Linked DNA regions of Danio rerio. The protein of the gene in region 2 interacts with the protein of the main gene of each other region in a biochemical or structural test. Links are inferred from orthologs where the notes say so. Each region holds a gene or a part of one and is shown on either strand. Other genes may lie near its edges.

Region 1 (3,758 bases), on a different chromosome or scaffold from region 2:
TTGTCTAGAAAACTCTTCTTGATTTAGGAATTTTTAGATATTTGGACTAGAAACAAGTGAAAAAATCTAAGTAAGAAAAGCATTTTTTGCAGTGTACCGCACCAAATTATGTTTTTACTTTTGATATTTGACGCCAGAGTTAATCAGCAAAGTTTTTAAATGTGATATTCCAGTGTTGCACATTCATTTAATTTGCATCTTTGTAAATTAAGCTATTGTCTTTAACTTTTCTCAGCCTTTTATCAACTATTCCCTTGATGTAGATGCTAAATACAATGTAGCACTGTTTTAAAACACTTCCTGCAGAACATTCTTTAAGAGACCACTTTGTCTATTTACATAGTAACTTTATTGTGGCGCTGGAGCTTTGATGTGTGGCACTTGGAAAGGAATTTGTTTAAGCAGTTATAGTTACTGAAAGCCATAACAGCAGACCCGAATCTAATATGTAGCAGGACGCTCTTCTGACATTGGCATTGCGATAGCCAAACAACCACCCTGGCGACTACACAGCAACAATTTAGAGCATCATAGTCGCAATTTGTACTTAGATTTTCCAGAGAATTAAACTTCCGTGCCATTTTGTTTGCTTTTCTGATAACTGTAGTTGGCAAAATGGGTTCCAATCAGGCAGAAGGCATAAGGCCTGGCATGACAGAAAGAAAACAGAATCTTCTGCCAAAATAAACTGTTGTTATTTTAGCCAATGATAAAGGCACATTTTAATGTTCTCCATCTGCCTGCATTCTTTCTCAGGGTTATGAGAGATATATTTCAGGCATGATCTATTTATATGGAGTATAATCTGATGTCCTCAACTTCTTTTTTTAATAATATCGGTGAAGTTGCACATGGATTTGAACGTCACTAACATTTCCTCAAAAATAAAAGCACTTTTGAAGATCACATGTTTTTTGAAAGCATTCACAGATGCATTACGGTTATGTATCACTTGGTTTGTTTTGCTTCACTTTCAAGTAGGTCCTTTCTAAATACAGCACTGTCTCAAAGCACTTATGTAATATTGTTTGTCCGTTTGTTAGAAATTCAGCTGCATTACACAAGACAATGTCTATTGTGTACACTCGCTGGACACTTTATTAGGTACATCTGTTGCACAAACAAATGCAAACAGCCAATCTGAATGCATTTTGGCAGGTAAACATGTTCAAGAACAACGTTTTTTAATCACGTTCCTGGAGGACCACCAACACTGCATGTTTTGGATGTCTCCTTTGTCTGTCACACCCATTACAGGTCTTTCAGTCTCTGCTAATGAGTCTGATCTGAATCAGGTGTGTTTGATGAGGGAGTGTTTGATGAACACTGGTCAAGAACATGATCTGCTGAAGTTCAAACCAAGCATCAGAATAGGTAAAAATTTATATTTAAGTGACTTGGCATGTTTTTGGGTGGCAAAAAGGCTGGGATTTTCATTACATTACGCCATCTCAGGGTTGCCAGATAACAGAGAATACAAGTAATTCAAATAAGCATGTGTTTCTGATTACTGATTAGCATGTTCAGCTGTGTTTGATTAGTGTTGGAGCAAAACCCTGCTGGACAAAGGCCCTCCAGGACCGAAGTTGTCCATTCCTGGTGTATCTAATAAAGAGGCTGCTGAGTGTATGTTTATGGTGTGGCTTGCCTTGAACTCCATTGTTATTTTGTGAGACGTCAGCGCCATCGTGTGGTTTGGTAAAACATTGCAGCCATACAAGGTTGCCCTCCTGCCGTCATGCTTTGTTTTAATGTGACGACGTATTGCGGAAGTTTTTCTCACTTTGAGAGCAAAACAAACAGAGATCTGTACTCGCCAGTCCATAACTCCTTAGAGAAGTTATATGATCTACATATATAGCCATTGAGGAATATTAACCACGGGTTTACCACAAATAAAGGCTAAGAAACGTGTTAGTAATTTAACCACAAATTAATCATCGTTAAATTGTAGTTTTCCCCACACCTTCCATAGTTTTTTTTATTTAAAAACGTGATTACAATATTTGTAAGCAATACATTTCTGCTATTATTACACTTTTACTATATAAGAAACATGGTTATTTGTCGTAAGATGTCGTTTAAATGTTATAAATGAGTTAATAACGTTACACTTCCTCATTTCCCGATTCGCTGCAGTTTGCACATTTGCAGAATATGGGATAATCTGCAAAGGAATTCGCAGACTATAATAGTGCAAGCTGTAACGTAGTAATAATAATGATGTATAACAACAATAACAATGCGTCTGATATTATCTTCCTGACCGTTTGAAAGTGCGCTCTGGGGACCCGTCCGCCTCCACCATTGACGACTTTCTCTTGCTCCTCTTCGGTCTTTCGTTGACTGGCTCTGCCATTGGCGCTGGAGATCCGTCGGTTTCTTCCATTTGAAAGACGTGGACTTGGATTGCGTTACTGTAAACTGTTTGTATAATACGTAATACAGTTAAAAACGGGTTATTTTAGGGGGGATGAATAGAAAGGGGAAGCTAGCTATTCAATGGATAGGACGGATTTTGAATATGGCGGAAATCTAAAATCATGACCAATCAGGAGCGGTTAAGAGTAATGGGGGAGGGATTTAAGGTGACGAAACACCTCTGCTTCTGCTCTGCCTTGTAGCCTACATAAAGGATCTGTTTGGTAAATCTCATATTCATAAATGTGGAAAAATTAATTCTAAACCTGTTTTTTAAGGGTTTTTACAGTTTATATGTGGACTCGCTTTAGTGTATTAATAGTAAGAAATGTCAATATACAATTATAATAGCCAAACAATTCAAATTAATTGAAGAATGATCTTGATGTCTACATAATTTATAATGCCTGATGTACTGAAGTTATGGAGACATCTATTCTAAAACGAACTAGTCTTTTGTTTTATATCTGAAATGTAAACTGTTAACTCAATTTTTTTATATATTATTTTGGATCTCATGTTAGAATTATATACTTGTTGTTGTTGTCTCTAATCAAGAGTAGATAAAGGCATTGTAAGAGTAACACACTTCATCAACATCAAAACATATTTAGACTTGACTTTAGGTAGGAACTTGAAACAAACTAATCTCTTAATGGTTAAATGATTTTTATTTGATGTATTTTCAACTTTTGTTTTAGAAACCCCTTAGTGTTTTTGTATGTTATTAGAAAATATAATATAATGTAAAAAAAAAAAAAAAAAAAAAAGTTCAATATTACTAATATTGGTAAACATATAGCGACAATGCACTGAAGCATTTAGCCTTTTTCTTTACTCGACTGCATTTCAAGATAAACTGAATAGTACTGATAACATGTAGATGTTTGCAATGGACATTTTTCAAATAACAGAAACATTTTGGCTTCTGGATCTATTCTCAATAGGATGACAGTTGAATTGGATGAAGAGTTACCCCTTACAATATCCTCATTAGTGCTAAGAACGTTGGTTTTGCTTATTTCAGATTAATGAGGCTTATGGTTACTCATTAAAAATCACTTTGAGCAATGTTGGCCACAAAGAAAAGCCTGACTGTTCACAGCGAATACACTTTTTGTGAGTCAGTAAAACCAGTAAACGCTTTATTGTTTGTTTTTGCTTTTTTTCCCCTTCCTCTTTTAATGCCAACTCATCCCGAACAGAAAATAAATTTATCAGTGTATTATTTAGTAAATTATTAATAGTACTGCAATTAATACTTTATAACATAATAATATAGTGCTTGTTTATTTATATGAAAAAATATATTGTATATATTGCATTATCATTATATC
Region 2 (3,470 bases):
AGTATTCAGGTACAGAAATAAATAATCACAATGCAAAAAAAAAAAAAAGCTTTTCTTACTTTGTTTTGTCTCTAGTATAAATACATTTAAAAAAATCATGTTAAAATGCTGTTTAGTTTTCACCATCAGAAGAAATAAGAGTAAATGAAGTTTTTATTGTGTTTTTGCTTGTTTTAAGGGAATGATCCGTCAGTGGGGTGAGTGAAATAATCTTGTTTTGGCTTTGAAATGTAGATATCTGGACTAGAAACAAGACAAACATTCCAAGTAAGAAATGTTTTTATCCAATAAATTCCATATAAATACTGTAGTTAAATACAATTCTGTAGCTCCACGCATTGCGATATCGATGCTGAAACGATATATTGTGCAGCCCTAGTAACAGAGCATTTTGTTTATTTAGAAAAAGTTACTGGAAGACATGTCATCGGTAGTCTCCTAATGGTTGTAGAAATCAAAATCTTCAACTTACATTAGGGCCTCAACAGATTTTGGCTTGATGAAAATGGCGATTGGATAGAGCTGTGCTTGCTGCAGTCGCTTTATGGCGTTCCCAGACACGTCCAGGATACAGTGTTTGCCCTACAACAGGATTAAAGAAACCCTTTCATCCTGTGTCACACTTACACTGCTCACAGTAATTGCCACAGGGAAAATATTGAAGGATTAAACAGGAGTGCGGATCCCCTGGCATGTTTACACTAGGGAGTCACTGACCCTTTCAGCCACTGCCCGAACAGACAGGATGCTGGTCCCGTACAGATTCTCGTTGAACTGGCCGGCCTCGATAAATTTGTTGTCCTGAATGTCCTTCTCCATTTGCTCTCTTGAACCCACAAAGTGGTAGTCCTGGCCGTCCATCTCATTCTCTCGCCGAGGACGAGTTGTATCTAAAGAATTATGATCTTTAATTTCACAAGTATTGCCAAAACACTGAAAGATTAACTTGCTTTGTTTTATATTATACTCACGTGGAACGCAGGATCCAAACTTGTGGGGAAATTCTGAGATCAAGTCATCGTTTACTCTGTCCTTCATCGGACCCAAGATAATCACAGGCCTTGTGTAATGGACTGAAAAGAAAGCCAAATCAATGTTGGTCAAAAACGTCCAGCCTTGAGAATTATTTCTTTGGCTCTCATTATGGAGGACATGGAAAACAGGATTTGAATTTCTTTCTGTGTAGCGTGTACCAAGTACATAAAGCTATCTAGCCAGTTCAACCAGAGCTTTTATGAAAACTAAAGTGCAAACACAGACTATTCACAAACTGTTAGTTAACAGAGACGTCTATATTTGCATATCAACTATGACCTACTGCTTATTCAACATCTTGCGCAAATGCAATGCAAGACGGCTAACTTGACCTACACTTAACCTTAATAAATAAAGCCATCATGTAGTGGTCAAGTCATTTAAAGAAATCTTAAACATACAGCAGTAAAAGCAGCCCGTTTAATTGTAAAGTTCAGTTCAAACAGTCACACTAATGATTCCAATTCTTCTGAAACAGATGACCTTTTTAAAATGGCAAGAAACATTTTTTATCTCACTTCAGTGATGTATACAGTAGCTCAGCCACGCAAAAACAAGATCAGAACAGCACATGTACACAGTGACTAATACATCAAACAACTGCTGGAATTTGACGCGTGTTGCATTGTGGGGAGTGTTAACTAGGATTAAGGGTCAGAGTGAGACTGCTCAACTAAAAACATGAAATGACCATTTTTGCTTGAATAAAATGCACATTAATATCCAATATTAATAATTGAGTCTTTTTTATCGAGCTGCCAATCCAATATTTTGATTCAAACTTAAAAAAAAAAAAAAAACAGCTAAAGTGAAAAAGGCATATGTATACTCACTCTCCTGTCGAATTACTGGCTCATATGAGAGAATTGTGTCTTCCTGACCCTCTGCATGAGGAGAAATGACAGAAGTATCCATTTGAAACAGGAAGGTTTCATTCTTCACCATTTAATACAAAAACAATCCACTTGAATTATCACTGGAATGAACGTGCAGGTCACATGACAAGATCCATGAATCATTGTTTTTATTTTTTTGTTCAAGCACTTAAAGTTAATGGCATGAAAATGATCAAATGGAATGCCGCACCTCAGCGGATTACACTGGGCAGTGTTGCCAGATATACTGTAGCTGACTTTTTCCAGCCCAAACGCAAAACAAAAATCCAAAATATAAGGTTAATTATTTAATTTTAATTTATTTAAATCTAAATTAATTAAGTTACTGTAACTGTCATACTTTTTAACCATAAAGCAACCAACACCAGCACTCGCAGAACCACAATATAACCAGATCAAATTGAAACACATCCTCAACTACACACTGCACTTGACGTGTAGATTACACTCCCTATTAGAGTATGTTTTACTTTCAAAATGGGGTATAAATTAGTCACATTTGGCGTTTAAATTCTTTTGAACATAATTAGGTGCTGCTTGGAAAAAATTATCAATGAAAGTGTGACAATAAACCAGGCTCTGCGTGATGCGCGTGCACATGAAGGGGAGTCAGATTTGTCCATGGAGTCAAGTTTTGATACAACTTTTCTTCACTTCCTCTTGCTACGCACTAGTCATGTAGGAGCACACAGTTATGTTTTGTTTAAAAAGTTGCATATAAAATTTACGTTTCAAAACTGCCCAAATATTGTCAATCCACCAATGACATTTTTTACTGGCACAATCAGATTCAAAACCACCCAATCTGGCAACACTGACACTGGGACAGACTTAACTTAGTACATAATGAAAAGCTTAAGCTAATGCACATTTAGAGCCACTTACTGGAGCTGCTTTCACTGTCACTGGTGTTGGACGTCAAGCACTCTGTGAATGAAAGGAGGAGGAGGAGGAGGTTTAGAAATGCCACAATGCACACTTTCATTTCTAAGTTTAACGGTATATCAATCCCAGCTCAGGTCAAAACTATACACCCTCCCGTACCATCATGCCAAGAATAGAAAAGGCTTAGTCAAGAAGGGGGGAAAATAAACAGAAAAGAACTTTTGGGCCCGTAAATGGCTGCCGTTTCCTCAGAAAGGAAATGGTAGGATGAGGCAGCAATAGCAAATTAAGTATTTCCTTTTCCTACGGTCTCACTGATCTTAGATTCTGTGCTGAGCGTTTCCTATGACCTTGCCAGTGTTGGGTTCATCAGACAGTGATACCGCTCCTCATGCCAAAGTAAACAAGCCAGTGTTGGGTTCCTTACAGGAATCAAATAACCAACATCTCTTAGATACACTGACAACATGATAGTGCTGGGATACTTCAAACATTAAACACACTCAATCCTGCCCAGTACCAGCTGGCTGTGAAGACTTCTGCCACCCACTTTCTCTTTTATTGAAGGGATAGTTCACCCAAAGGTGAAAATGCTGTCACCATTTACTCGCCCTTCACTTGACTTTCATTCTTCTTTTGAACACAAGAGAGGAT

The links. The genes of interacting proteins can lie anywhere in the genome.
Region 1: the proteins of dlg3 (region 2) and net1 interact in a test that uses a peptide from one of them, tested with the Homo sapiens proteins (2 studies listed by IntAct, with this or other methods). The link is inferred for Danio rerio from reciprocal best matches to the Homo sapiens genes DLG3 and NET1.

What each region holds. Positions count from the first base shown.
Region 1 is NC_133179.1:12,171,295-12,175,052, forward strand, and holds the start of net1 (neuroepithelial cell-transforming gene 1 protein), read right to left. Parts: upstream 2,527-3,758; 5' UTR 2,390-2,526; coding exon 2,268-2,389; intron 1-2,267. UniProt on the Homo sapiens protein: Acts as a guanine nucleotide exchange factor (GEF) for RhoA GTPase. May be involved in activation of the SAPK/JNK pathway Stimulates genotoxic stress-induced RHOB activity in breast cancer cells leading to their cell death.
Region 2 is NC_133189.1:37,620,288-37,623,757, forward strand, and holds part of dlg3 (disks large homolog 3), read right to left. Parts: intron 2,859-3,470; coding exon 2,817-2,858; intron 1,920-2,816; coding exon 1,869-1,919; intron 1,767-1,868; exon of another isoform or gene 1,074-1,766; coding exon 972-1,073; exon of another isoform or gene 891-971; coding exon 718-890; exon of another isoform or gene 583-717; coding exon 473-582; exon of another isoform or gene 386-472; intron 268-385; exon of another isoform or gene 179-267; intron 10-178; exon of another isoform or gene 1-9. UniProt on the Homo sapiens protein: Required for learning most likely through its role in synaptic plasticity following NMDA receptor signaling.